Diceros bicornis minor: one gene and its partners. The main gene of each other region encodes a partner of the protein of the gene in region 3 in a complex. Links are inferred from orthologs where the notes say so. Each region holds a gene or a part of one and is shown on either strand. Other genes may lie near its edges.

Evidence for each region.
Region 1: the proteins of CTNNB1 (region 3) and CDH1 are in contact, whole or in part, in a crystal structure (PDB 1I7W), measured with the Mus musculus proteins. The link is inferred for Diceros bicornis minor from reciprocal best matches to the Homo sapiens genes CTNNB1 and CDH1. Residues at the interface, in NP_001159374.1 of Mus musculus: Leu148, Ala149, Arg151, Ala152, Glu155, Leu156, Leu159, Asp162, Val167, Lys170, Ala171, Val173, Met174, Gln177, Leu178, Phe253, Ile256, Thr257, His260, Leu264, His265, Asn290, Lys292, Phe293, Ala295, Ile296, Asp299, Gln302, Ala305, Tyr306; in NP_033994.1 of Mus musculus: Asp788, Val789, Ala790, Pro791, Ile813, Asp814, Asn816, Leu817, Ala820, Asp821, Pro824, Ala826, Pro827, Pro828, Tyr829, Asp830, Ser831, Leu832, Leu833, Val834, Phe835, Asp836, Tyr837, Glu838, Gly839, Ser840, Gly841, Ser842, Glu843, Ala844.
Region 2: the proteins of CTNNB1 (region 3) and BTRC are in contact, whole or in part, in a crystal structure (PDB 1P22), measured with the Homo sapiens proteins. The link is inferred for Diceros bicornis minor from reciprocal best matches to the Homo sapiens genes CTNNB1 and BTRC. Residues at the interface, in NP_001091679.1 of Homo sapiens: Tyr30, Leu31, Asp32, Ser33, Gly34, Ile35, His36, Ser37, Gly38, Ala39, Thr40; in NP_378663.1 of Homo sapiens: Tyr307, Arg321, Ser345, Leu347, Ser361, Ala385, Leu387, Lys401, Arg403, Arg426, Ala427, Ala428, Asn430, Gly444, Arg467, Gly468, Ala470, Ser484, Leu508, Arg510, Tyr524, Arg557, Phe559.

Annotation. Positions count from the first base shown.
Region 1 is NC_080771.1:20,366,843-20,377,052, forward strand, and holds the start of CDH1 (cadherin-1), read left to right. Parts: upstream 1-5,043; 5' UTR 5,044-5,135; coding exon 5,136-5,189; intron 5,190-6,053; coding exon 6,054-6,168; intron 6,169-10,210.
Region 2 is NC_080745.1:66,482,252-66,492,461, forward strand, and holds the start of BTRC (F-box/WD repeat-containing protein 1A), read left to right. Parts: upstream 1-3,682; 5' UTR 3,683-3,759; coding exon 3,760-3,807; intron 3,808-10,210. UniProt on the Homo sapiens protein: Substrate recognition component of a SCF (SKP1-CUL1-F-box protein) E3 ubiquitin-protein ligase complex which mediates the ubiquitination and subsequent proteasomal degradation of target proteins. Recognizes and binds to phosphorylated target proteins.
Region 3 is NC_080741.1:43,545,005-43,555,214, forward strand, and holds the start of CTNNB1 (catenin beta-1), read left to right. Parts: upstream 1-5,597; 5' UTR 5,598-5,762; intron 5,763-10,210. UniProt on the Homo sapiens protein: Key downstream component of the canonical Wnt signaling pathway.

The DNA of each region.
Region 1 (10,210 bases), on a different chromosome or scaffold from region 3:
TATAGTTCTTTGTGGCTGGGATTGCTAAAATGGTAGGCTGGGAGCCTGTCTCTGCCTTGATAGGAGAATCAAAGAAGAAAGTCAACATAGAAGAAAGCAAAGACAGAGCAAGACAGATCCCTGATGACATAATTTGACCACCTGGAGCTATCCATGCCTGAAGTCCATCTATTGTGGACTTGTTAGTACATGAGCCCCCAGATTTCCTTTTTCTGCCTAGGCACTTGTGTTTCTGACATTTACAACCCAAAGTGACCAATATAAATGCCGAGACACAGCATGTTACAGGGGAAAGAGCACTGGGTGGGGAGTCTTAAGGCTTGGATTTGACTTAAGGTTCCACTATTTATTAGATCTTGAAACCTTCCCTGTATTTCAGTCCCTTCAACTGAGAAATAGAAATGGCATCACTGCCTATAAAACGTTTTGGTGGGAAATCAAATGAGCATGGATGGGAAAGTGCTTTGTAATCTGTAAAGTGCTTTGCAAACTCTAAAGCTCCATATACAAGTGGGCAGCCTCTGTTGCACGTGGTATTCAATGGAGAAGGTGATCTAGAAGGGAGCAGTTCCATTTATGCCATGTCCAACCTGCTGCGTGACATCTGACAGGTGTTTGAACCTCCCTGAAACTTGGTTCTTGTCTTCGGAAAAGTGGATTCCTGGTGTCTCCCGGGGGATTTGCAAACTGGATCACGTGACTCCCCTGATCTTAATTAAAATCCTGCAATGGTTCCCCATTGCTCTGAGGACACAGTCCAAGCTGATGACCATGATTAACACAGCCCCCCGCAACACTCTCCTCACCTGTTGGGTCTAACCTGCCTCTCCTCCAGCTAGACTGAACTACCTAAAGTGCTAAGCCCTCTTCTCTGGGCTTTTCCCCAGGTGGTAACCTCTGCCAGGAACACTCTGGCTAACTCAACCTAGATGTCACTTCCCCCAAGAAGCCCTCTCTGAGCCCCTTGCGCCTCCACATCACTTGCCTTGTTGATCTTAAATCATTATCACTAGGGCTGGTCTCCAACCAGGGTCACTGATATCACTCTAGGTTCTAGTTGCTGAAATATTGTGTTGAAATTTTTCCACATCATTTGGGAATCAGCGACTTCCCTCAGTCTCTCAGAGTGCTCCCCACACCTGCAGCCCCTCCCACACCCCTCCAGATCTCCCCACCACCCAGCAACCAGAGGGTAAAGCCTGGCACAGCAGGGGGCCTGGGACTCCACCCCCACCCCCACCCCCACCCCAGCATTCACGGCTGGTGTTCATTTTGGTTGGCCTGGTGCCCGGGTTCTACCAGTTGTTAAATATGAATATCATTGTTGCTTATTGCCCTGGATCATAAATACCTGGTTCCCTTGTCTGTTTATTCACCAGACTGAAAGCTCCTTGAGGGCAGGGAGGGCCTCCCTCACCAGCAAAGCGCTTGGCATGTGCTAGGTGCAATGAGGGTTTACTGAATGAATGAATGGATGAGTGAGTGAATGAATGAGTGTGTCCTGAAAAGTTGGAGAGTCACTCTAGAAAATGATGGGCCCCACATCCTCGGTCTGGACTCTGGAGTTTTCTTCCAGGCCTGCAATGGAAACCTTGCACTTTGCCCAGGTTTTATGGCTCCGCAGGTCTCCACCCCTGCCTGTGGAAGCTCCCTCCACCTGCCCCAGTCTGGCTCCAGCACGGCCAGCTTCACCTTTCCCTCCTGCAAAACTTGAGAAGTGTGGAACCTGGAAAGACCAAGACGCACCCCTTTCATGAGCCGGTGAGTAGGCGAGCACACGCGTGTACAACACACACACAGGAATGGACAGTCAATCAGTGCTCACTAACTAGTCCTGGTTTACCCAGAACTTTCCAGGTTTAGCACTAAAGTCCCACACTCCAGGACCCCTCTCTGTCCTGGGCAGACGGGACAGTTGGTCATCCTAGCACTGGGTTGGTTAGGTCATTCTTCTTGGACAGTGGAGGGAGCGGTGGCCTTCAGGACTGATTTCTCTGTTGCAGGTACTGAGCACAGGGCCTGGCACACAGTGGGTTTGCCACAGCTCTGCCACTTACTGGCTGTGGAAGACCACTTCACCTCTCGGTTTCCTCAAGAGGGGACAGGACAGTATCTTCCTCATAGAGGTGCGTGAGTTAACAAAAGGAAAAGTGCCTGGGTCTAGCACCTGGAACAGAGTGAGTGTTACATAAATTAGAGCCATTATTGTTGTTGTTGTCGTTATGATTATAAATTATATATGTGCATGGAAGAAAGGTCTCTAGAGGGTCCAGCCCAGTAGCATACTGGTTACGTTTGCACGGTCTGCTTTGGCGGCCCAGGGTTCCCCACAGGCCTGGATCCCAGGTGTGGAACTAGGCACTGCTCATCAAGCCATGCTGTGGCAGGCATCCCACATATAACATAGAGGAAGATGGCACAGATGTTAGCTCAGGGCCAGTCTTCCTCACACACACAAAAAAGAGAGGTCTCTAGATTTTTCTGTGTGTGAAACAAACAAAAACAGTAGGAGGTATAGGGCTACAAAAGTCACCCCTCTACTAAGCCTGCTCTTAGCGAGACAGCCCCCCACTTAAAAAAGAAAACAGTTTTATTCTGACAAAATTCATAAGCCACACAATTCACCTATTTAAAGCATTAATTTCAATGTTTTTTATTTTTTTGTGTGAGGAAGATCAGCTCTGAGCTAACATCCATGCCAATCCTCCTCTTTTTGCTGAGGAAGACCGGCCCTGAGCGGGCAGGCCTTCACGATCCACTCCCTGCAGCTTGGAGAAGGACTTGCCGAGAAGTCTGGAGAGAGCATTGTGCCGGACCTGTCCTCACTGCCCCTAATTGTTTTCTAAAATCCTTCTTATTGAGTTATCAGAGTGTAATGGAAGAGTCGATGAAAGTTGCCGCGGAGCTACAAGGCCAGGGCTTGCTGGGGGGAGGAAAGCAAAGCCCTAAAGGCTCCCTGGGCTGAGCGAAGATATAAAATATGTATTTTTACATAACTGGGAGGAAAAAATAAACGGACAAGGCAGCCCCACGGGGGAGACGCCTCTTTCTGTATTTCCATTATCTTGTTTAATGCACAGTCCGGCAGGAGCCTCAGTGGGAAAGGAAATACTGGAGCCTTTTCCCTCTGAGCCTCCTGGTGGGTTAAGAGACAGAGAGCCAAGATGCAGAAATCAAATGGCCTGGGCATGTGCTCAGAAACCCATTAAGCCTGAGGGGACAGGTTGGGGGTGGGAGGGGGCTGACCCAAAACAGTGTTTTGGTTTGAGACAACGCCTTTCCTCTGGGGTTGAGAAAGTAGCCACAATGGGCTCAGACTCACCTTTAGCTCTGGGTGAAATATTCTAAACATGGCCTTCCCCATGAGGAAGGAGGAAAGGCAGTGGTTCTTTCCAAAGAACAACCTCCACAACATTTACTGAGCAGTTGCTAGTAGGCGTCAACTACTCTGTTTAGTGATTTTCTTGCATTAGCTCCTATCAACCCATTTATATAGGTAAGAACACTGACTAGCCCAAGGTCACACAGCTAGTGAGCAGCTGACTCCACACACTGTTTTGTAGTTCTGATCACGCTTGAAGGGGGAAGGGAAAGATGGTGTCCTTATCAGGGTAGCCAACCACAAAGAAGGGGCTGGCCCCTGGCAGTCAGACAGGGAAACTGTCTAACCTAACATTTGCATGTCTATTCCTTTTTTGATCCTAAAATTATTTTACTGGGGACAGAATTCTCTAGAGAGGGTGGTGGTGGCTGTGGTGTGGTGTTAGGAGCCCCAGTCTGGGGATCAGGAATCTCAGGTTCTAGTCTTGGCTTTGAGGTTGACTTCCATGTGACATTGAAAGAGTTATTTGCAAAGAACAGGTTTGGGTGATCTCGAAAGGGTCTCTTCCAGATCTTCATTAAAGAACAGATTGAAAACTGCAGCTCCAGCTGGAAGACTATCTGAGGCCGCATGAGGTGAAGCTAATAGAACAAAGGGCTCTGGAATCAGAGGGAGATGAGTTCCAGTCCTCCCCCCACCTCCTACTGGCCTCAAATTCTTTTTTTTTTTTTCCTGAGGAAGATCAGCCCTGAGCTAATGTCCATGCCAATCCTCTTTTTGCTGAGGAAGACCAGCCCTGAGCTAACATCTATTGCCAATCCTCCTCCTTTTTTTCCCTTTTTCTCCCCAAAGCCCCAGTAGATAGTTGTATGTCATAGTTGCACATCCTTCTGGTTGCCGTATGTGGGACGTGGCCTCAGCATGGCCAGAGAAGCGGTGCGTCGGTGCGCACCCGGGATCCGAACCAGGGCCGCCAGTAGCGGAGCGGGCGCACTCAACCGCTAAGCCACGGGGCCAACTCCCAGGCCTCAAATTCTTTATGCCTTAGTTGCCTAACAAAAGGGAATAATAACAAAGCCCTTGGGTTGTTTGGAGATGAGTTTAACTGAGATGGTCAATGTCAAATGCTTAGCACAGAGCCTGGCACTGTAACTTTCAATGCCCCAGCACCTATTATTACTATTTTTATCCCTCACATCCATACAGAGCTTTTATATTGCAGGAAACACTGGTCTTATTAATTGTGTGGCAACCTCACAACAACAGAGGGAGGCGTTTGTGATTATTATTCTCATTTGGAAGGTGGAGAAACTGAGGCTTCAAAAGGTGGGTGCTACCCAGTGATCTGATTTGCAAACTCACTAACCGATGGAGACCTGCAGTTAAAGAGACAGAACTCAATTAAGCGGAAGTCCTTTCGGACCCCGGGTGTTAGTGAACCACCGCGAGGCTGGGATTCGAACCTGGTGGTAATCGCAATCGGGGAGCCCCTACACCCTACCTCGACCCTGCCAACCACCGGCCAGCGAGTCACCGGGTCGGCGCGAGGCAGGGGGGCGGATCGTGGGCGGGCCGTCCGCCCTCTGTCGAGGAAGCTGAGGCCATGGCCGTTTATTGGCTGCAGCCGGCAGGTGCACCTTCAGCCAATCAGCGGGGCTGGGGGCGGGGCCTTCGAGGCTCACCTGGCGGCCGCGGCGCTGCCCGGCTCAGTGGCGTCGGGAGTCGCGGAGCACCTGTGAGTTCGCGGAAGTCCTGCTAGATTCTAGCCCGGCCCAGCCTGGCCAGAGCCGACCTGACCCTCGCCCGGCCCACCATGGGCCCTCCGTGCCGCAGCCTCTCTGCGCTCCTACTGTTGCTGCTGCTGCAGGTACGTCGGGTCCCCGGACTGCAGGAGACGCCTTCCAGCCTCACCAACCGCGCCCCGGCCCCGCGTCCCTTCCCCTCCTCTCTCGTCGTCCCTTCGTCTCTCTCGTCGTTCCCTCTTCCACTAAGAAAGTTTGGGTCCAAAGGGCCTAAACGGCCTGGAAGCTGCGCCGCGCTCTGGACTCCCGGGAGATGGGGGTGGGAGCAGGTGAAGGGCGAGCGCGGCTCTGCCCACTCCAGCCCGCAGACACCGAGGGGGCGCGCGCCTCGCTGCAGGCGCTGGGACTCCGGTTCGCCGCGGTGTGGCGGGGAGCGGGCAGCGGGGGCTGTGGAGCAGGGTAGGGGTAGGGATATGGAAGGGGAGCCCCGGCGCAAGTCAAGGGGGAGCCAGGAGTAGTGGGTTCGATCCCTGAGGTAAGGAAAGGGAACCAATAGATAATAAAGGCACCTGCCATGTAAAGAAAGGGTAGTAAGTAGGTATGGGGGTGCCCCTGGGGTAGGAAAGTGGGGTCCAAAGGGGTTGGAGCGCCCCTCGGTATGAGGAACTAGACTTAGGAGTGAGAACGTTCCCGGTATGAGGAAAGTGGAGTTGGGAAGAGTAAAGATGCCTCCGTGAAATTGTAAAGGAGACAGGAGAGGTGCTAGGTCGGGAGGAGGTGACCAGCAGCCCCCTCTCCTGGAAGGGCCTGGGGTCCTGGCGGCCGCAGGTTTCGGAATGAAAGAGTTTGGCGTGGCTGCCTGCCCCGGGGGTGGGTCCTTCCCACAGTCCTGACGCCGGGAGCGAGGGAGGGGCGGCGCTGTTGGTTTCGATGTGGGCAGGAAGGGACCCCCCAACTCACCCCGGTTCCATACCTTTTCCCTACCCCAGGTCTCATCGTGGCTCTGCCAGGAGCCGGAGCCCTGCCGTCCCGGCTTTGGTGCCCAGAGCTACACGTTCACGGTGCCCCGGCGGCACTTGGAGACGGGCCGAGTCCTGGGCAGAGGTGAGGGCGCGCCGGCGGTGTGCTGAGCCGGGTGGGTTGGGGTAGGAGTGGAAAGTGTCCAAGAAATTGCGCTCCCACGGCCCTAGACTGAACTGGGCAAGCCCTCCTTCTCTGGCTCAAATGACACCCCTTTGAAATTTACACAGATGTAAGGATCTGAACTTTTACCCTGATTGAGCACTGTGGTTGAGGGGCTATCCTCGTATGGTTATGTTATAAGGGGGGGAGCACTTATTAGAGGCCTTCAGTGTGTCTCATAGTGTCCTGACCACTTTAGAGACAGTCTGTCATTTCAGACTGCAAAAACCTGATGTGTGAGAAGGGAGCAGTAATTCCTGTTTTACGGATGAGCAAATGGAGGCTCAGAGGGTGGAGTCCACTTGCCCAGGGTCAGCAGAACAGGAATTTGAACTAGGATCTGACTCCCAGGCCCCATTCTGCACCATCTCTGGGATGACTGAGGATCCCTCTCTTGGTTACCAGGCTGTGGCTATTACTCACAGAGATGAAAACATTTTGATACAGGTACTATTCCCTCAAGGAATAATGGTTTAAAAAAAAAAAAAGCCTGGTAGCTCTGACTCAGGTTATGAAAACGCACACAACGTAATTCTGGGCCTTATCACTGTGATCATCAGGATTTGAGAGCTTGCTCTGTTTCACTTTTCAGTGGCCCAGGAGTGAGAGCAAGGGAAAGTTAGTTTCTCTTCTGGCTTCACTGATTCCCAGGTGCTTATTTCCTACCAGGCGACTTTCTCCTCCCTCTTGATTTTAGTTGGTTGGGCAAGTTTCATAACAGTAAAAGAAACACTTTTTAAAATGAGAAATCACCCACAATTCCTCTGAGGGAATTCACCGAGTTTATTCCTCCAGTCTTTGGCCACGTGAAAAATTTGCAGCAATCATGCTGTTGTCTGAAATTCTTTTTTGAACTTTGGAAGTTGTTCCAACAGTGGGCGGGATTTTTTCTTAACAGAAACTGCAGCTTGATTGATTAAACATATTTACTTTTCTGAGGCCCGTCTGTGTTGTGTAGAGCTTTCTATTGGGTCAGGTAGGAAGTGTTGTCTGCCTGATTTTGCAGTAAGTCCGCCATTACTTGGCCAGTTCTCTGCTTGATATTCTGCCTGACTCTGTGCTGGGCACCTGGGAATGAACTGAGGAGATACAGGGGCACTCCAGCCCAGCTCTTGGTATTTCACATTCCAGCAGGTTGCTGGGAGTGTCCCAGGACCCACTTAGAGGGCACTGTGGGACGTGAACATTTAGGTGCCAAGAGTGTGGGTGGCCTGGGATGTTTTGATGGGTATCAGTGGGCAGTGAGGACTGGTTTCTGAGAGGAGGCAAAGCTGACCCAGCCTTGAGGAGCAGGTGAGGGTTAGAAAGGGAGTGTGTGCCTGTGTGTGAGGTGTCCCAACACAAGTGCTGGTCATTTTGTTTTCCTGCACCAAGATATTTGCTAGTGCCAAGGGAGGGTTAGTCTGGTTTTTATTCCTCTCCCCAAGCTCTTATGTCTGACCGCTAACAACATTATTACATGCTAGTAATAATATAAATATTATCATTATTATTAGCAGTGGCATCTATTATTTGCTTTTTAACCAGACTCTGGGGCAAAATGTTTCACATATTTTACCTCATTTAATCTTCCCAAGAACCTTATTATTTCTATTTTGTGGGTGGGGAAACTGAAGCATAAAGCAATTTAGTAATCTGCTCAGGGATCCACAGCTGGTCCTTCTCCTGTTCTCTCCGCTTCTCAATAATTCAATAATCAATCAAGAAAACAGGGTGTTTGGGGAATTGGTGTCCATTGTGAAGTAGACGTCGTGGTCCCTGTGTGCCTGGGAGAGGAGAGGTGTTGATAGAGCAGGACCCCCAGAGCAGGTGGTGGCGATGGAGATGGGTCAGATTGGGTGGGAGGCGGAGGGGGCCTGCCGCTTGTGGTCTTGGTGGGAGAGGCGGCCTCCGCAAGGCTGCTTGTGTGGCTGGTTCCAGCTCCCTTTAGGCCCATGGACCTATCCCGGTTCAACAGATTTCCTGACATTTCACTTTTTTTGGCCTTTTTGGACCATGGGGTCTCCTTCTACCCGTCCAATGTGGCATCACCCCAGGACAGAAGTCCCCTTCTGGTAAGATCACACATGTAACCTCAGGGAACTGGCTTTGTGATTAAAAAGGCAGCCAGGATTTAGGGAGGTGGCCTCCCTCTGGACACTCCAGGAAAATGGAGGGATGCCACATTAGCACCAGGTGTAAACGTTGGCCCCAGGGAGAATTTGCTGCATGGGAGTTTGAAAACAAGGAACCTGTCACTTTTTGTCACCAGTGAATGTCACAAATAGGGCTTGACCGAACTCAGGGGAGCTTGGGTTGGTTTCCTGGGGCCATTCCTGTGCCTCGTGAGATGGATGACTGCAATCACAGCCTTGTATGTACTCCGTTGGTTTCTTTCCAGATTCTAGAATGGAGAATGTTTTTTAAAAACCTGTAAACTGGTTCTTGAGAGTTTCTGATTATTTTCCTCTTTCTTAACACAAACTAGTTTGAGAAACCCAGGCTGTTAGGCAGTTTGGAATCTCAGCAGTATTATCCTAGTGTGCTCAGCTTTAAGTTGATTGAGGGGTGGGAAAAAAAAGTGGGCAGGCTTTTATTTTTTTTTAATTTTTATTTATTTATTTTTCCCCCAAAGCCCCAGTACATAGTTGTATGTCATAGCTGCACATCCTTCTAGTTGCTGTATGTGGGACGTGGCCTCAGCATGGCCGGAGAAGCAGTGCCTCGGTGTGCGCCCGGGATCCGAACCTGGGCCGCCGGTAGCGGAGTGCGCGCACTTAACCACTAAGCCAGGGGGCCGGGTGGGCAGGCTTTTAAACCAATGGTTTCCTCGCTTTGCTTCTCCACCACCTGGCATTGGGCAAACAAGGCTTATATCTGGGGTCTGAGGCCTGGCTGCTTGATGGATCAACCTAGCTCACAGACACCCACTTGTGTGGATTAACTCATCCATTTCCCCCTCTTTCTAAAAGACCTGCTGAAATGTGGTGGAAACAGTATGCAGGCCCCCCAATTAAACTGGGCTTTAAACAAACAAATACAGAAGCTTGCTTGGGGATCACCTTACATCATCGGATCCCCACTCCCCCAGCCCTCAATCTCCTAAATGTCACTTCTCCATTACTCATGGCTGTGGCAAGGGTTGAAGCAGAGCTCACTGGGGAAGGATGCTAATGGGTCATTCTCCTGCCCTTGCCTTTGTGTCTCAGGAGCAGTGGAGGTGGAAAGATCTGGGGCCCTGCAAGGCCATTTAAGGAGGTTGACTGCCACTCCTTCCCCGTGGGGCCCACTGGACCTGCCCTGCCTCTGCCAGGTGGTTATGGAAATCCCGGGTTGCTCTCCCAGGCTTTTTATTGGGTGAGCCTTTACACTTTCCTTTCCAAGCATAGCTCCAGATAAGCCAGACGCTGAAGCAATCAGCTCTCACATCGTCCAGAAGCTGCGAAAACCCTAAACTCCCCGAGAGGCATCTGTCACAATCCAGACTTTCTGGGTTTCCACTCTGCCTCAACCCCCATCTCCTTTCAGGGCTTTAGCCTTTCAAGAAGGGGAATGAACTCAGTATGAGTAAGTACATGAAAGATCCAGCTGTGAATTTCAGCTACTAGCTATGTGGCCTTGGGTAAATCACTTTACTTCTGTGAGCCTCAGTTTCCCCACGTGTAAAATAGGAGGCAGTGATACTTAGAGGTTTGTCATGAGAATTCAATGTGCATATTCGTTTATTTCGCACCTGGGCTGGACACTGGGGTTACAGTAATGGATAAAGCAGACATGGGCTGAACATAGAGCAAGTGAGAGAGATGTAAAGAAACAGGAAAGAGTTGTTAAATGGTGGCTCATTTTTCTTAGGGACAGAGTAGGGACTCAAATACTATTTTGAGCAAATGAATGAATGAATGAATATTTACTACCACTCATACCTTGGCTCATTTTTTTCCTCTCAAGCTCTCTGGCCTGAGGCCAGCCCTCAATGTTGATTGTA
Region 2 (10,210 bases), on a different chromosome or scaffold from region 3:
TTGCTGGGACAGTGGATAGGCAGAACATGGGGGGTACACACCATCAGACTACTACTCAGCAGTTAGAAGCAACCGGTTATATGTACACATATATAGCAACATGAATGGATCTTAAAACCATAGGTAATGGGTGCAAAAAGTATGAAACATAATGAGATACATAAAACAATATTACATTTGTGAGTTAAAAATGTAGCACACAAAACAATATCTATTTTTCAAGAACCATACAAACAAAAAGATAAACATTGCCTATGGGAGGAGGGAAAAGGGAGCAGGCTAAGGCGCTAAAAGGGAATAAATAACTAGATAACTATTTTTTTAAAGTAAGATTTAAATCAGACCTGGAAACACGAGTAGAAAAGAGGGGGAAAGGGAAGTCTTCTAGAAGGGCAAAATGACTCCCACAAGCCAAGGCCAGGAGGCAGGAATGTGCTGAGCAGGTGTGGGTGGGAGAAAGGCCTGATTGAAGCAGAGGGGTGTATTAAAGCAAAGTGGGAAGTAAGGCGGGAGAGAGAGGATTGGATAAGATTAAGAAGGTCTGGAAGACCAGACAAAGGAATTTAAACAATGATAAAGTAGATAAGAGAGACATAAAAGGATTGAGCAGTGAAGAAATGTGATGAAAGTGAAATCTAAAAGAGATTATCAGATGAGGAGGACAGAGAGAGCCTGGAGTCAGAGAACTGGATTGGAGGTGAATATAGTGAACTAAGCAAAAAAAAGATGAAGGGAGTCCGGAACAGGCTACCATGGGCGGTGGAGGCTGGAAGAGACATTTTGATAGATTACTGGCTGGATACAGACACTAATAGACAAGGATAAGTCAGAGTACTCTGTGGTCTTACACTAGGAAGTTAGGGGAAGAAATTAAGTCCAATAGTAGCTGCGATTTCTCACGCTGGAAATCTAGTTTTCCAGTAAAGTGGAGCTTTAAAGGTTCTAATGATTCAGTATTCTCCTTGAGCAACTAAGCTTTAAGTCGGCTCAGAGGTGCACCCATTTTAGTGTTGGCAGAGATCTTTGTGTTCCACACGACAAAAGAGGTCCAGTTAAATTGCCCAAAGTCAACCAATTAACTAGAGAAAGGATGGGCTAGAACCAGGCCTCAACTTCTAGTCTAATAAACTTTCCTAAACTATGTTGGATATGAGGGACTTCACAGGTAATTCATAGTTGGATTTCTCAGTTTGTTTGACCACAGTGGTCAATTTTCAAGAAAGAGGATTTACCCTTTCTGTACCCAGCCCCTGCCTGCTCAGTTTCAATCTGTATACATATGAACTGTCTAGCTGGTTGGGCTTCTAAACAATAACTTCTTGTATTTGCCTTACTAATCCTTACCTCCACATGACCAGAAAAAGTGAGGACCCTCACTGACTGCCAGCCTCAACAGTCAATATTTTCATACTCCTCTATGCATAACAAAGTAAAACAAACGACTTCTCAACAGAATGGAATCTTAAAGTTTAAAAGATCTTAACCTCCCACCCAAACTGAAACCCCCTAGAAAATACCCCTGATAGATGGTTTTCCTCTATATGTTTTCAGGAATGGGGCAGTCCCTTCCTTTGTCAGGACAGCTCTGATTACTAGAAAGCTCTGAGTCTGAGTACTATGTCACTGCAGTGTGCTTCAGTGAAAATAGCACAGGCCTTAGAGTCAAGCAGACTTGGGTTAGAATCCTGACTACGTAATTTGCTGTATGACTCGAGCAAGTTATTTATCTTTTTTTTTTTTAATTTTATTCATTTATTTTTTTCCCCCAAAGCCCCAGTAGATAGTTGTATGTCATAGCTGCACATCCTTCTAGTTGCTGTACGTGGGACGTGGCCTCAGCATGGCCCAGCAAGCGGTGCGTCGGTGCGCGCCTGGGATCAGAACCCCGGGCCGCCAGCAGCGGAGCGCACGCACTTAACCGCTAAGCCACGGGGCCGGCCCTTTATCTTCTATCAGTCCCATTAACTTCATCTGTAAATTAGAGATAATAATACCTGTTTTACAGAGTTACTATGAATATTAGAGATTATGAAGCCAAAATGCCTAATACAGTGCCTGGCACAAAGAGCTAATGAAGTGATAATTATCATCGTCATCATTATCCCACCCACTGGTCCGAGTCTGCCCTCTGGAGCTACATACATATGCCTTTCAATACTTTCAAACACTTAAATTTAGTTGTCGTGTTATTCCTAAGCGCTCTTTTTTCAGAGTAAGCATCCACCAATATTTTCTCTCTTGGTTATCCTGCCCTTGGCTATGACCCTGCATATGATGTTTGTAGAACATGGTGCCCATAACTGAACAAAGTACTCCAGTAAGACCATAAGCCTCTATTCCCTAGACATTGCTCTTCAAGCTGCCTAGGACTCCTTTAGCTTTTTTGGCAACAGTGTCACATCCTGCCTTAATCCTACGAAAACTTCCAGGTAGTTTTCATACGAATGAGCTTTAAGTCTTCTCCATTTTGTACTTGTGTAGAACTCTTTCTTTGAAATTAAAAAGTAAGACTTTTTATCAACTGAAAGCCTGTTATATATTAGGTATTCTGCTGAGTTCTGTGGACATAGGGATGACTAGGACAAAGTATCAGCATACTAGAAACGTAAGCTCCACAAGTCTTTGTCTATCATGTTCACTAATGAATCCTCATTTCTTGGGATGATGTCTGCACACAATTATATGCTTAGTTTGTTGAACGAATGAATGAATAAAATAGTTTACAATGGAAATTTTCCCTATAAGTAAAAAGGAATTTCCCTAATACACTTATTTTATAAATTCAGATATTTTGTACATGCCTATCACTTTTAGCCCAACCCTAGTGTTTTTTCCACCTAGAGTAGACCTAATTTCCAAAATAAATTCGTACTGTCCCTTTCAAGGCTAGACTAAATACTTACATGCTTTATTTGCTGGATGGCGATTATATTCCACCATTGAAGGCCTTTTGTAAGTACTTGTTTGACATTTAATGCAGGGCTCACTTCTCAGGGTTAGCAGTAGCAGGTCATGCTTTCTGAGAGCTAAACATCGAGAATTTCCGGAACCGAGTTCTATCTGGCCGTGACTTGCTGTGGGGGAGAATAAGGTCCTCGGGAGAAATGTGAAGCAATGGCTTAGCAGGACCTTGAAATTTTGCATTGGTCTGCGAAGTCCTGCCAGGTGCCCATAGGCCCAGCGTCTCTGGGTCAAAATCCGTCCTGCAGACGCCAGATATATGAAATTTGGGGCTGTCCAGTTCTCTAAAACCACAGTTAGGGAGGGGCTAGGACCTCTGAGTCCTTTCACAGTTTTTTCCAGTATTTGGGCTTAAGGTGAGGCACTCGTCGCCATCTCGATATCAAATACCAGGCAAGCCGTCACTGGCGTCTTTCGGTAACCACGGAGACAGCCGTGCCGCTCCGTAGAGGCTGTAAACTACGATTCCCATCAGCTGATTATCTCTGCTTGCCGGCGAGTGTTTAGATTTGGCTTTTCGATCCCGCGACCCTGCCGCAGTGAACTGCGGGAGTTGCAGTTCGCGGTGTGGACTCACTTTTTGCTGCGGGAAGCTCCATAACTACAAATCCCGTGAGCCAGAGGGCTCACGCATGCGCACAGGACAGCCGGTCCTCCCTGGCCCCCCTGCCGGTGCCTGAAAGGTAAGAGAGGGCGGGGGGAAGGAAGAGGAGGCGGGATCCGGGAGCTGCGTTGGCTGCGGCCTGGCACCAAGGGGGCGGCCCCGGCGGAGTGCAGACCCAGTGTTCCCCGGCGATTATGGACCCGGCCGAGGCGGTGCTGCAGGAGAAAGCGCTCAAGTTTATGGTGAGGAGAAGGGGCAGGCCGGGAAACTGTGGAGGCGGTGGCGTTGGCAGCGTCGCTGAGGCTCGGGCCTGGGCCGCCCACCCGCCGGAGGAGCGGGCAGCGGGACCCTGGGCAGAGACCGGCGGCGGGGGCGGCTGAAAGGACGGGACGGGACGGCAGCTCCAGGGAGGCGGGAGGAGGTTGCGGAGAGGACCCGGGGGTGGGGGCAGCAGTTCCGCCATCTTGTGGATGAGAGGCCAAGTGACAGCGGGAGCTTAATCGGGGAGGGGGCTCTGGGTGGCGCGCGGGGCCCTGGAGTGAAAGGTGCGTGGGGACAGTTACTGAAGAGCGGAGGAAGCCGGGAGGAGAGACGCCGTGAGGCCGCTGACAGGGCCTTCTCGGTGTCAGGGTTACGGGTAAGGCCTGGGAAAGAGGTGCATTCAGGAGTGGGGAAGGGGAGCGCGGGATAGTGGGAGGAAAGATATTGCGAGTAGGGGTAGGGGAAAACGGGCAGGGCTGGATGCAGGTGGATCTAAGGGTGGAGGAGAGAAAGCCAGGGCTGGTGGGAGACTTGTAGTTTTGTAGAATGACGGAGGAGAGAGAGCTTTTGCCTTCAGGATGCAATCGCAGCTTGGCCAAACTAATGTTGACAAACTCCGGAAAGGAAGAGGCCTTACTTAGGAAGATAAGGACTGGGGATGGGGACCTAGGGCTATGGTGACAGTCTCTGGGAAAGGAAAGGGATGTTAACCATGAGCCAGGATTACAAATGTCAGAAAAGGGATACATACTCTACTTAGAAAGGAGAGGCTAAATATTGTAGTACCGACGAGGTAATGAAAAGCAAGAGGATTGGTCAGGAAAACCTGGGTACAGGAGATTGGGGGCAAAATTCATATCTAATAGGGAAAACAAAACAAAACTATTGCTAAATTGTAGAGCTAGTAAAATGTGGGGCCCAGGTGCTGTATCACTTTCTGGGAAAGGAAAGGCTGTAGAGATTAGAATCGCAAGACCCATAAGAAGTGATGAGATCAGTAGAGAAATTCAGGAGATAAAAGGGGGAATGTAGATAGTGGGGAATGGGAGATATCAAGATTGGTGGTTACTTATCAGTTTTAAGTTGAAGCACAGTATGAGCTTGGATTGGATTTTGTGGGTGTGTTTAAATCCTTTGGAACCTAGTTCTTTAACTTTGTATCATGCTTTTCTTTTGCTATGCTTATGTTTGTATAGTCTGATATTTGATGTGTTTGATCTGATGGTTCTTGTATATCCTAGGTGTAAAACCAGACTTTATGGTTACAGCTAAAGAGTGATGGGATGCATAGACTTCTATCTTAACAGGTGATCTCAGGGACATTGATATTATTTACAGTTGCATCGTGCTTTTTCAGACGTGATTGTAACTTGTCACTCTAAATCTTATTTCTTTGTTAGTTGTTATTTTGTATCTTTGCCTGAAATACTAAAACAAATCTAAATAAATATGGACACTAACCTAATTGAATTCAGGCTTTAAACTGCCCCATTTACAAGAATACTTTTTTACTAAAACTTTATTTATTTTGTATTAGTACTTTCAGAAACACCTAACTAAAGTTTGAGTGTATCATTAACAAAATTCCATTAGGCCTGAAGAAGGTTCTTGAATTTTTGCCCAATGATGAAATTCTAAAATATTAAGAAGAGACTTTGAAATTTTTTTGCACTCCAGAAGTAAGAAGAAGCTGCTTTATATCTCAAGCCAGCTTCTAGATTTAAGTCAGAAAAGTGGCAGCTGCTTATTTTTGTTTTCCTGTTTAAAGGCTGACTCGATCCTAATCTTGACACTTGTGTCAGATTTATGGAATAATGTGTGATTTACAGATCATAAAGAGACATTATGAGATCATCTTCTTTACTCCCCATTAGACCTCAGCCTAGGACGTTCTCAACTACTTGATCTCTGCTTTGTACCAGTGAGTTATGTTTCGATAATGGTCTCCTGACTGAGTTAAAGTGGACCTGGAGATTGCCATGTAGTAGTTTGCAGCTTTTAGGGCACCACACATTATTAAATGTTGAGTCAGTTTCCATAGGGAGAAGCCAATTTTTTCTTTAATTTTAGTTACTTTCATTTTTGACCTTGCCTGCTATTGTGGCTGCTGTTTGAGAAAAGGCCAATGTGAAGAGGGTCACCAAGAATGACACCTTAATAACTGAAGCAAAGAATGGAGAGTTAGAGATTTGGTATTCTTTCTCAGCTCAGTAACAGTCTTATTATGAATCTGAGTAAGTCACAACTTGCCTTTGGTCCCATTTACCCTGCTATAACATGTTGGTTTCTTCAGAATCAATTTTGAGATAGGAAGATATTTTATTTGTGCTTGCACCAAGTAATTAGTGCACAGTACACATGGAAGGGCTATCCTTTTAATCAAGTTGAAATTTTTGTATAGTATTTGCCTGTGTTTTGGCCTTACCTCTTCCTTCAGCTGTGAATTGTGAATGGCAGTTTTTGTACGGATACCCTGATTTCCAGTTTAAGAAAATGTAAAATTTGTTTAAAATGCCAACATGTAGTGGATATTCTCTTTCATGAATTTTTCTCATTACCACATTAATATGGTGCTTTGATTAGGAATTTTACAATATAATCTTATTAATGAGACTACCGAGTTGAACTCGGAACTACTAATTCCGAGTTGAACATAATTCATACATGCTCTAGGCTTAAAGTTTACCCTTGCATACTTGTGAAAAATAGTTTAAGCAGGAGGTTTAACTTCTAGACACAAATGATATTATTATTATTATTTTTTTGTGTGTGTGAGGAAGATCAGCTCTGAGCTAACATCTGTGCTAATCCTCCTCTTTTTGCTGAGGACCGGCTCTGAGCTAACGTCTATTGCCAATCCTCCTCCTTTTTTTTTTTTTTTTGCCAAAGCCCCAGTAGATAGTTGTACGTCATAGTTGCACATCCTTCTAGTTGCTGTATGTGGGACGCTGCCTCAGCATGGCCAGAGAAGCGATGCATCGGTGCGCACCCGGGATCCGAACCCCGGCCGCCAGTAGCGGAGTGTGTGCACTTAACTGCTAAGCCACGGGGCCAGCCCAGACACAAATGATATTAAAGCAGTAGTTACATTAAATAACCTATGTGCTAATATAACCTATGTGCTAATATTTCATTCAGTTTTAGGAGGTCCTTAAGGACCTTTCCTAATACTTCCTTGGTCATCACAATTATAATTCAGAAAAGATAAATGGGAACTTGAAGAGGACCTGAGAAGAGAAATGAAAATGATTGAAGGAATGTAGGCACCATTTTATAAAGAGATATATATATCTATAAATATTTATATGGGGGATGGAAGGACAAGTTGAGGGATGAATTTAAAGTTTATTTAAAAAAATTTACAGGATAAACCAGTCCCAGAATCTTAGAACTGGGGAAACGTTTGAAGCTTGGTTGAATTAATTTTAGGGCATATAAAATGGTTTTTTATTGAGTTGATGGATAAGTGAAACATTATAAAAGGTAACTTTCTGTGTAACAAACCACCCCAAAACTTAGTAGCTTAAAAAAACAATTTATTATTTCTCTCAAATCTGTGGTTGACTGACGAGTTTTCACTTTCACTTGGTATATTGGCTGGGGTGCCAGTATGGCTGGAATGTTCAAAATGTCCTCACTTACATGGCTGGCCGCTGGCTGAGAGTTCAGCTAGCGCTAAAGGCCTTCAAGTCCTCCTTTATGTAGGCCTCCTTTCTCCACATGGGCTTTGGATTTCTTTAAAGCGTGGTGCCTGGATTCTAAGAAGCAGCATTCCAGGAGACAGGAAATAGAAGCCAATCAGCCAATTCTCTTAAGTCCTAGGTTTGGAAGTCTGAGAATGTCGCTTTTGGCCCAAGAGAGTGAAGGCCAGGCCAGAGTCAGAGGGAGGGGCAATAATCTCTACTTCTAGACAAGAAGAGTGGCATGCATAAACAGAGAGGGGGAAATTGTTGGGGGCTATGCCCTTTTTTTGTAAGGAAGATCAGCCCTGAGCTAACATCTGATGCCAATCCTCCTCTTTTTTCTGAGGAAGACTGGCCCTGAGCTAACATCTGTGCCCATCTTCCTCTACTTTATATGGGACACCGTCACAGCATGGCTTGACAAGCGGTGCGTTGGTGCGCGCCTGGGATCTGAACCCACGAACTCCGGGCTGCTGCAATGGAGCACGCGGACTTAACTGCTTGTGCTACCAGGCCAGCCCTGGCCATGCCCTTTTGAGACTGGCTGCTGTAGATGCTATTCTAGTTGGATGTTCAGGCTAAAAATAGAAATGGGATCAGCCAAATTTGAGGGTAATAACACTAGGAATGCTTTGGAGGCATCTCTTTTTTGAGGTTAACTTCTTAAGGAACTAACATGATCTACATGACTTGCCTTAATGTCACTGTAGAGGTAATACTGGGTGAATTAATATGATCAGTAACTTTTCTTATTTGCTTGAGAAGCATATGTTTCTAAAAGCAAGAAAATATATTTAAAAATAAATATTCATATTTTTCACTATGATGGGCTTTTCTTTAAATCAGTGAGATTGATTACCAGCTGGTTGGATGAACATTTGAAACTAGTTCTTAGTTTAAGTTGTCAGAGTTTCTATGTATATATTACCTGTTCTCAATTTAAATTAGCCTTTAGTTTCTTTTCTGGATATTCTTATGTAGGTATTGGGGCATAAAATTACAAACTATTGATAATTCTTTGTGCTAATTTTCTTGATTTGTGTTTATAATAGATGCATATAATAGATATTGGAAGTGAATTATTAGATGTGAAATAAAATTCTTGTACTTTGAATGATTGTCAGAAATTTTTTATTGCTAAATTAGAACATGAACTTTCAAGAGAGACCACTTGTTATCTATATTATTTGAATATTATTTAAATCCTGAAAGAAAGGAAGCAGATAAGAATTTTTTCCCTTACTACGAGAGACAGGACATTATGTAAGATCTTGATCATGTATAGATAGCATTATTTTATGGTAAATGGCATTACAAGAAAAAAAAGAAAGAATGACAATGAAGAAAGAAGAAAAGAATCTTTGTGATATTAAAATATTTTAAAATCTCATCTACTTTCTAATAATGTTTTAATACAGCATGGAAGTGCTTTCTAAATATGTAGAGTAAGAATTCATGGAGGATGAAATAGAAAATATTTACCAATGTTTTAACAACTTGGTCATTGTAAAGAAAACTGCTTCTTTCCTTAGTAAACCAATCCCAGCTTCCTAAAAGTGGCAATGGAGGAGGAAAAAGTCTCAATGGGAAAGGTTCACTGGATTTTATTGTTTCAACTAGTATTCCACAAGATGCACCTTGTACTTTGGGAATCTCTGGAGAATTCCATATGTTTTCCCAAAGCCTGATTGAAACATAGCTAGAACGTTTTACAGAAGACTCAGAAACAATAACAGTGGAATAGATATGAGAGTAATGTTGAACTAAGAATGTGATTTGTTCTCTGGGGCATTACCATTGTTGTTCCTGGATTGCCTTCATATGTGGCCAGGGTGGGGGTGGGGAGCGAGGGATCAAAAGCCACAGAGCTGAGAGAGAATTCCTGCCTGCCTAAAATGAACCTTTTGAGTTGGAATTTCCTTCTGAGGTCTTGCTCCTTCCTGAGATTTGGCTCTCCCTTCAGAGTATACTTGCCTTTCCGTTCCTAGGCTTATGACCTGACCTGACCTGACTCTGTCAATAACAGGATAACCACAGTAAAATTGGGAGAGTTGTTTTTTTTTTTAATTTTTGTTTGTTTACTTTTTAAAATATAGTCAGCCTTGAAAAACAGCTAACAGCTATCATTTATTTGTTTACTGTATGCTGTTCTGAATTCTTTAGATATATTATTTCATTTAATCCTCCCAATAATCCTGTAAGATAGATTCAGTACTATTGTTACCCCCATTTTCAGATAAGGCAATTGATTCTAGAGAGGTTAAGTATCTTGCGCTAAGTCACTCTGGTAGCAAGGAGCCTGAGATCAAACCCAGGCAGTCTGACTTGAGACTCGCACTTACACTTTATTTCATCCTTGAATAACAGAGAAACAATCGAATATGATGGCGTATTTCTTTGCTAGTCATGTGGTGGCCAGAGTGGAGGAGTTACTGCTCAGACTTAATATAGATTTTCTGATTATTTGAATTACTGAGGAAATGGAGTAAGATTTTACAGTTGTCACAGTATCATTGTATCAGTTAGCAATTGCTGAGTAATAAAGAACCACAAAATATCATAGCATACAATGATAGATACTTATTCCCAGGAATATGTGGATTTGCTGAGAATTGGATGATATAGACTGGGCTTAGATGACTCTGGACTTGGCTTCTCACTCAAGACAGTTCCACACGTTGTTCTGGGACTCAGACTACAG
Region 3 (10,210 bases):
ATAAACACTCAACTGGACAGAAAGTGAGAGTAAAAGATCTCCCTTTCACATCAATGAAGAGTGCCACACTACGAACACATTTCCCTCTTTTATGAGATGGATGATTTTTAAAAAAGATTAATTCAGATGGGCAACTGCTCAACACTTATTTTTCTTCTAGCTATACACACGAATACACCAACTTTTGTTTTAAAACCAATAGAGCTCTTAAATATTATAAACTATCTCTAGTTTTTAAAAAGAAATCTACAGCTGGTCCATACATTTTCCAACTAAGACAGCATAAAACCTCCATGTTTAAAAATGCCATACCCTCCACCTGCGTACATACACACTCATACACATACACACCCGATCCAACTCCACACTTATCCACTAATGACTAAACAATTTGAGATGCATTGGTGGGGGACGGGGGAAAGGGGCTGGGGAGGATTTTTTTTTTTTTCACAACAGTCATGCATAATATTTACTGAATAAGACATTGTGCTCTGTATTTTTTCTAGCATGTGGGGGGAATCATAATTGTATTTAGACTTTATATGGCATGGGTTACTCAGTTCACAGCAGAGGCACCTGCAGCAAATTAATTTGTTGTAGCACATTAATTATCTCATAGCTTCTATTTAGGCTGCAGCTGTTGCTATTATGTTAATAATATTTTTTATCACCACTGTATACAACAGGTTATGGCAATAATAGAAATATCCCTTTTTTTTGGCTTTCCCTCCCTATCATTTCCATTTTTCTATGTCAGAAGGGAAGACTGAAAGAAATTTAGGCAAATTAAGCCCCAAAGCGCACTATAATTTTCTATTTCTGAACCGATTTGTAAGAGAATGGGTAACTGAAATTAGCAAAGAATCACCCCACACAAAGATGGCGCGTGCAGAATTTGTGAAAGCGAAAAAGAAGACGAAGGAGAAGCAAAAGAGGGACGGAATACTGCAGTGCTGGGGTGGTGAGTGTTTGGATGGGGGCGGGGAAAATGCTGCAGTTTTCATGAAATAATAAGGTGGGGGAAAAAAGGCATACAAAGAGTAGGTTTTTCATTGTTTGTAAAATATAAACACAGATGAATTCTGTCTTTGGTTTGTTCATGCTTTTCACTCTGCACAGCAGGGATGTTCTTAAGAAGTTGCCCTCTGCGAAATTTCACTAAATGGGAACCGTGGACCCTGCATGATGGGATTATAATCACACCAGCCACTCCTTTTACATAATTTTTTGTTTAAGATCCAGTAAGACTCCCTGTTTTTAATATATATAAAGCAATAGACATGTATATGTCGATAAACTGAGGGTTTGCGTGCCTATAGCCTGGTGCAAGCTAAAACAAAAAACCGGTGATACCACATCTACAGATCTCAATGGATTCAAAAACAATATGAAAATTTTTAGCTGACAAGAACATGTCTGCTGCCTGCAGTCCCTGCAATAGCTCACCATGTTGCCTACTAACCAAAAGATCAAAAATTATCGATTTCATGGCGCTGCGTGCTCTGGAAAGAAAAGCTACTTTAAAATTTGCATTGTTTAAGAAATGAGTTAAAAGAAAAGAATCATTTTTTTTCTGAACACTTTGGGATGTGAAAATGGCTTGTTTTAATCTTACCCATGATTTACTATAATTCTATTATTTTTAGCAGCTGGAGTCCAGAAATGATTTTTTTCGATGAATTTAGGATTTTGCCGCAGTATACATCTGCAGTCCCAGAATCCTCCGGTAAGTTAATCCTTCTTGCGTTGGGAAACGCCTTTAACCTTCTTGTGAATGAAGTATCTGCAACCATTTTGAAATTTTTAATAGAGAGGTGTTTGTGCATGTGTGTGTATGTACGTTGGGGGGTATGTCTCCAAAGCATGATTTCTTAGCAATGCAGCGGTAATTGTCTTAGTTCTTAGAAACATATACCTTTGTGTTCTATGAATATCATGGATGATGTCTCCATTGCTTCTCCTTCACACTATCTATGGTAGCCATTAAAATGTACTTTCTTAGTATGGCAATGACTGCTGTGTCAAACCAATGAAGGCCTGGAGAACACATAACTCCAAGTATGAAGAGTGTTGCTGGCATAACCACAGCGGCCATGAACAAAACTATCACTGCTGCTGCCACTGCCACCACCATGGCCATCGCCTCCCACCACCTTCACTGCCCCTCCCTCACTCTGCAGTGCACACTAGATGCAAGCTTTCCACGGTGCCTCTCTGCCGAATTTGCCCAGTGGGTTCCTAGATTACTTCTGTGTGCAAGAATAGCCAACCATGTAGTCTGACAAGAGGTATTTACAACTACTTAGCCTGTTCAGCTGGAAACAAATCAAAAGATAACACTGAACCCTGAGATGATGTATTGCAAATCAAAAGTCCCAATCCATAAATAACCCACTTGATATGCTGCTAAATGAAAAGCTGATCCTGATTATTGTCCAGTGTTTTCAGGTTGTCAAAAAGAAATATTTTTAATAGGCCTTCTTAGAGAGTTGGGATCTATTGTTTATAAATGCATGGAATATTATTTAGTCTTACCTTTCTGCTGGGAGAGGATTCTTCCCAAGGAGATTCAGATACTGAGTCCAGAGGAGACCACACCCTCATCTCACTGTTTTCTACTGTTTCTGTTTACGTTCGAGTAGGGTTGATTAACAATTACAATTATACATTAATTTAAGGGACCTAATCAAAAGGAGCCAGTCTTCCATTTCCCTCTCTCTAAAGGAGCTCATTGTCTTAGTGCTCAATAAATGTTTAATTAATGGATTTGATAAAGTTAACTATCCAAAAAGTGAACGGACCTTCTTTACAGTACTGGCTTGATTAATGTTTCTGTAGGAAGTGCAATAACAATCCGGGCATTTATTTCTTTGCCTAGAGGTGATTTAAAAGCATGTGTTTTTGTGAAGGACGCTTTACGTTCAGGTTCCATGTAGCCCCTGCTTGATATGACAATGGTCTGCTATCATGACAAGCAATACCTCCTCCGCTAACCCAGCTGGAGACACTTTGGTTTCTAGGAACACAGCTTGAAATTTAGAACCATTTGTCTTTTGCAGTTTCACAAAGTGGATTAATTTAGGTCACACCCAAGTGGCTGACTCTAGAAGGAAAAGGTGTAAAAAGATAACCCAGTGTTTTTTATGAAATGTATTGCCCAAGGTCAATTTTTTAAAATCATTTCTACAAAATCACTTATTTCACCCACTCATCAGGTATTTTGATGCTTATATTTCTCCTTGGTTTAATGACAATATCTGTCTTCACTTCACACAAGTTATTCATCTCATATTTTTGATGAGACAATTGGAACAATTTCTGTTTTTTGAGAAGCAAATAAAAATTCTGAGCAATTTGTTAAATTCAACTAATTTGTTTTAATGTCACCCAGTAATTCTTCAGTACACTTAAATTTGACAGGAAAAACAGCTTGCTGCGTTGTTGCAAATTTTACATTTCCTTTAATAACATGTGTTTGCTTAAAGTATTATTATAGATTTAAAAATCTTAATTCTAAATTTAGATTAAGATATCTAAATTACAGAAAAACGTTTCAATTATTTTGGCATCTGAATAGAGAAATACAAATATAGAAGAGTTTTTTTATCTTTTAGAGGTTCTAATGGTGCAAATATTTCTTAACTTGATTTAAGTGTGCCTTATTTAGCAAAAAAAAAAAAAAAACCAAACATAGAAAAAGGAAATATCCATACAAAAAGAACCTCTAACATTAATTAATCTGATTTTACATTATGACTTAAATCTACTGTATATTCTTTAACTCTGCATATGAGTTTTAAAATTGGGGATCAGTACCTGGAAATGCCATTTTATACTTTTGAGTTTATATTAGAAACAGTGCTTTGATGAAATACCTTTTTCTGTCAATCTGTTTGAATTATGTCCAGCCAAGTTAACCACAACCGTTGGCCACACTTACTTCTACAGAATTACTAGCAAAAATAAAAATGAGAAAGTCATCTTAGACAATGGATTTCACTGAACATCATCGTGTGTGCACTTTTTCCACTGCAGGGGCCCACATGTGCAATAGTGACAGATAGCAGTTGACATTATCACTGTATATAGTAAAATATCTTTCAGGCAGGAAAAAAAATAGAATTATTTAAAGAACAAGTTGGCCCTTAAGTATTAACTATACCGAAAACTACATATCCTACCGCATGAGTAAAGGAGTAAGTAGGTTTCCTGCTTGTATCTATGTATAAAGACCTATTGTTTGCATGCATTAATTAGAGGGATAAAAGCCTCAAGATAACTTTCACTGTTGCTTTTTGTACTCTATTGTTTTGGAGGGAAAATAAGCATAAAACAATAGGCTAGAGAAAGTGAATCGATCATAATTGTTTCAGCTTTGACAAATGCCAATCTTGCTGGATTACAATGGAGACATTTCCAAGGGAAATGAAGACTCAACTTTAGCCTATTAAAAAGAATTAGAAAATGTTTTTGAAAAACAGAAAATAAGTTTTAAAAAAATTAGAAGCTGCCTAATCGATAGTTCCTTCCATAAACAACATACTTGGATTTCTCAAATAAGTAATACCGTAGAAATGCACCTTCTCCAAAGAAAAATCCCCACAAAAAGAAAAAACAAACCTATTGATATTTAGTAATACAGTGGAACCAAACACAAATGGACTCTATAAGAATTAACCTAACGGACAGGGCTCTAGAGCTAATCCATTTCCATCAGTCATTTGTTCACAGTAGGTACTCATAGGACTTGTTGAATTGCGGGCTAGGCGCCCACTCCAACGCGAGTTCACAGCCTTCGGGAGTGCGGACAGCAGGCGGCTCGGCCCGGTAGTTCACCCAGGTTCAGGCTGAGCAGCCGGTTAGGATGCGGGATGCACGATCCGGACAGTGGGGGGCTTTAGGGTGGTGAGCGGCTGGGCTGCGAGCCACGTCCTGCAGGGAGTGTGTGGCCAGACCGCAGCGCTGGCAGAAGCCCTAACCCGCCCGAGTCCCCCGACCGACAGCGGGGCAGCGGCGGCGGCGCCCAGCAGCGCCTGGAGCGGGGCAGGCCCCGACCTCAGCGCCCGCGCCGCCGCCGCCTCGGCCCCGAACTTCTGCCCTCTCAGGGCCTGTGCCGACCGCCCGCGCGGCCCCCGAAGGCCGAGGCCGAGATGCAGCCTCCCGCGGGCGGCGGGAAGCGCGTGGCAAGCCCCGCGTCGGCTCTCACGGTTCGGGGCACACGCGGGGCGGGAGCGTCGGGCTCCGGACAGTGGAGGATCCTGGTGCCGCCCTCCCCCCACGCCACTCCGGCCCGCGGGGGCCGCGGCCCGCCCGCCTCGGACTACGGTGCCCTCCCAGGCCGCCCTCCAGTCCCGACCGGTGGGAGAGCCGCGGGGCTCTACCTAGGAGAGCGTCCGGGCAGCGCGCGGGCGCCCCGCCCCGCCCCGGGGCGTTCGGACGGCGGCAGCCGGCTCGGCGGCGCGGGGACTACTTTCCCCCGTCCACCCGCGCCCCGCCCCTTGTCCTCGCGCGGCGGAACGCTCCGCGCTGCGCCGGTGGCGGCAGGATACAGCGGCTCCTGCGCGACTTATAAGAGCTCCTTGTGCGGCGCCATTTTAAGCCTCTCGGTCTGTGGCAGCCGCGTTAGCCGGTTCCCGAGAGCGGAGAGCGAGGGGAGGCGGAGACGGAGGAAGGTCCGAGGAGCAGCTCCGGTCCCCGCCGAGCCGCCACTGCAGGCCGAGGACGGTCGGACTCCCGCGGCGGGAGGAGCCTGTTCCCCTGAGGTGCTTGGGCGCTCCTTTCCTTACCCTTCCGGGGCTGCTCCCGCTCTCTCTTCGGAGCTAAACTTCGTCGCGGGCGCGCGGTCCCGGCGGCAGCTGGAGCCCGGCTCGGCGCAGCCGTGGGGCCCGGGTTGGGAAGCAGGGGTTGCTGGCTGGGGGCGCCAGGGAGGCGGCGGGGGCGGGCCGCGCCCGGGGGGCGGAGGGCGGCGGCAGGGCCCGGGTTCCGGTAGCGCTGCGCCTCGGGGGCCCCGGGGGCGCCGCTTGCGGGGAAGGGGCGCCGCGAGGGCGCGTCCAGGAGCTCGGATGGCCGGTGCGGGGGGCCTGTGGTTTTCGTCCGGGGCTCCGGTCGCGGCCGAGTTTGGGGGAGGGACCCTGCGCCTCGGGATGCGCCGGGGCCGAGGTGGGGGGCGGGGTGGGGACGGGGGGCTCCGCCTTTCCAGCCTCAGCGGGGAGTTGGGGTCCGGTCGCTGGGCCTGGGACGCACCCTGGGTCCCATCTGCCTTGCGGATAGGGCCAGTGGACTTTCTCTCCAGATTCCCTCTTTCGTTCTTAAGGACGAATTAAGGGAATTCTTAAGAGAATTGTGTTTTTTTTTTTAACGCCCTGCCTATGTGAGTTTGGCACTGGCGCTTGTTTAAATGGAAGCAACTTTAAACCTTCAAACTATTAGTGCAGACAGTGCGATGCGTCAGTAGGGTTTGCACACAGAAAAATCCCTGTCTTGCACCTATTTTTTCTTGTACCGTGCAGTTGAGGGACAGCGGCGATGTGCAGTGTACTGGAGTCTTCTGGATTTACCGCGATGGGTGTGAGACCCTACTAAAAATAAGGGTTGGGGGGCCAGGCCAACTTGCTTGTTTCTTATCGAGCGAACCTCGGGAATTCAGCCTCTGACTGCTTTGCGAATTTTGTTCGTAGAAATTACTTATTCAGATAGTTTTTATGGCAGCTAAACTTGGTTATCCGAGCACGTTTTCTTTTCAGCGGAGTGAATTTTTCCCTCGCCACGAAATTGGTGAAATGAAATTCAAGCATTGCAGCTTCCTCCAGTGTTTTGTCTGGGGAGACGACTTTGAACAGAGACTTTCGAAGTTCTCACAGGCCGCTTTTGAATCCGCTAAACTTGAAAGCTTTGGCAGTTGGGTGTAGTTGTTTCCTTCGTTTTCTCTTCCCTTTTGGAGGGAGCATTGTTTTATACTTTGTATCTTCCAGACATCTGTGGTCTCCCCTCCCCCGGAGCTTGTGAGTGGTGAATGAAGAGAGACCGGCCTGCTGGTATGCAGAGGTCGGCAAAAGGAAATCGAGGAGTGGTTTTAGTGAAATGAGAGCTTTGTGTCATGAATAGCGGTGGCTTAGACTAGACATCAACTTGAAGAGACGGCTGTCCTTTGATAAGTCTAGGCTAATGTTTTTCGGATCGCTAAGTTATAAAATATTTTGGCATTTAGGAAGCCGTTTCATTATTGTCACTTGGTGAACATTCACTACCTTCAGATATCTTTGTGTTAACTTGTTTTCGTCCTAAGAAATATTAGACATAGCTTGAAATGTTACTTACATAATGCCGTTGTTTAGTATCTGCTTAAATTAGTGACAAACTTCTACTTTGGAGGCTTTTTTTTTTTGATCTGAACTAAGGCTTCTGCTCCATTCATTTTACTTTTTTTAAACTCAAAGTCTCTGGACTAAAAATACCATTAAGGTTTATTTGAGAGTATCGTTATACAAAATTTGATTAATTTGCACCCAATATTCATTACTTTGACCTAGTCTTTGTTCTGAAGGCCATGTACAAGGACGAGGCCCTAAAGTGATTGCAACAGTAACTTGAAAAACTTGCAGAAGACCATTCTATAGGATTAAAGGAATGCTGAGACTATTCAAGTCTGAAGTCCTTGAGGGGGGAATAAAAACCGGCACCGGAAAGTTTAGTATAGCACAAAACTTAGAGTCCTTGTGGAGTCCTAGGCCTGAGATTTTCCTGGAGGCCAGAGCAGTCATTTTAAATAGCTTTCAGGAAAAACCAAGTTTTTAAAAATAAGGTGGTTAATAAAAAAGTGAAGCATTTAACAGTGTTCAAATGTCAAGAAGCATTCGAGAGTTTTGTTGCTTATGAACTAATTGCTGACTACTTCCTTTACCAAGATTATGTAGAAAAATGTGTATTCCAGTATTAAAACTTATCAAACCATGAATTGAGCTTTCTACTGTGATGACTGAAATAAAACTTGTCCATATAAATAAAGTTCTGTATGCTTGTTTTCATAGACAGTTCCCTTTGCCCCCTCCCCAAATAGGAAGGAAAACATGAAGTAGGCAGATTTGTCTAAGGGTATTGAGATGTGATGCTTAGGAAAACTATCTGCAGATATCCTTTTTTATTGTTGGGAGGGGTGAGAAGAGGAGCATAAGTATTGTTGAAACTAGGGATGTGGAGAATTCAAGTTTGAATATCACTCTTTTATAGTTATTATAAGTTAGCAGTGAAATAAAACCCCAGAAATGGTCTACATAAGTATAGTTAGCCAAATGAAACTTTTATGTTATTGAAATGAAACAATTCATCTGTCCAGTTATAACATGATTTTGTTTCTCTTTCGTGGTTTACTAGTTGCTGATAATCCATAATTGTAGATGAGTAGGTGGTAAATTTTAAGTTTGTACTTTGAGCTTGGTTGGAAGCACGCTTGATTGCTAACCCAGGGCAGCAAGTTTGAATGCTTTTAGAGCAGGACAAACTTCTAATAAAAACTATCAGCAACTCTTTTGTAGTGCTACATGTTGACTTGTGACATTGTTTTTGAAAACATTACTGTATTCACCTAGTTGTTTTCTTGTAGCCCTCTTTTTATTGGGAATACAATATCTTTGTTGAAACAGCTTGACTGAAAACATTTTTATACCATAAAAGTAAATAATAAATATAGACGAGGAGGCTGCTTCTGATTAGTCCAGACCATGTAGCTATTGCCTCTTGTACCCTCGTTGAGAGGATACTGATTGCAGAATCAGTTCTCATTCTTTAACAGACTATTGTTTATGTAATACTATTGTAATTGTGACTGTGATAGTTAACTAGGTTAATAGGCTAAAATAAATATATATTTCTCAGGTTTCACAAAAGGAAAATAACAGTAGTCTCCCCTTACTTGAGAAGAATATGTTCCAAGACCCCCAGTGGATTCCAGAAACCACGAATAGTACCTAATCCTGTATATACTGTTTTTTCCTATACATACATCCCTATGATAAAGTTTAATTTATAAATTAGGCACAATAAGAGATTAACAATAACTAAAAATAGAACAATTATAACAAGATGCTGTAATAAAACTTAAGTGCATGTGGTCTTTCTCACAATATGTTATTGTACTGTACTCACCCTTCTTATGATGATGATGTGAGGTGATAAAATGCCTACATGATGAGATGAAGTGAGGTGAATGAGATAGGCATTGTGATGTAATGTTAGGCTACTATCGACTTTCTGACCAAAGTCAGAAGGATCATCAAAAGGATCATCTGCTTCCGGACTGTGGTTGAGGACCATGGTTGACCCTGGGTAACTGAAACCAGGGAAAGTGCAACTGCGGATAAGGTGAGACTGCTGTGTGTGTGAGATTTGTGTTGCTTGAAAATGAGTAGGAGTTAATTCGTATAGTTTTTCATCACTTAAACTCAGGAAAAAGGTCTCTGTTTCCTCTGTTTACTTAAGAAAGCTGCTTTTGTGTTTCATGCAAGACTGAGCTTGACTCAGGTTTGAAACCTAGATCCATCAGTTGAGGCCTGAATCCTGCTGTCCTTGAAGTATGTATATAATCTGCTTTCTCCCTAAGGAAAGAGAAGCTCTTAAAAGAGAAAGTCAGTCACGTTAGGAACTCCTTTTTAGAGTTTAACTACCTTTTGCATTTGTTAATTGTGGGCATCTCTTCTTTTAAGAGACATTCCCACTCCCAAAGTCACTCTCAAACCTGATTCAGCAGAGAGAGAGTAGTGTTAGGGCATGTTTTCATTGCACGCTTTGGTCATGTTGAGTGCCCTCCAGTGGATATAATGTAATGCTTGTGATTTTTCCCCCCTAGCAAGTTTGTTTGTGTGGAGTTTATTTATGAATAGTTCTCATGAGAAAGCATCAATCAAGAAATTGTTTGAATTTTAGAATAATTTATTCATATCAATACTGCTAATTAAAAGGTTGGCTTGAGAGAATGTCATCTCAACCAGTGTTTGCAAGAGAAAGGTGAAAGTTAAATTAGGGATTAAATTTTAGTTAAGTCACTTTAAACAGGCAGTTCTGTTTAAATATATCGTAATGATAAACCAAAAACTCAATATAACAATTTGGGGGTAAAAGATCGTAACGTTTAGCCATATTAATGAATTAGAGAAACAAATTCTTAGAAAAAGTTAATGAAGAAATGAATTGTCAGTTTATCTAACATCTGTTACAT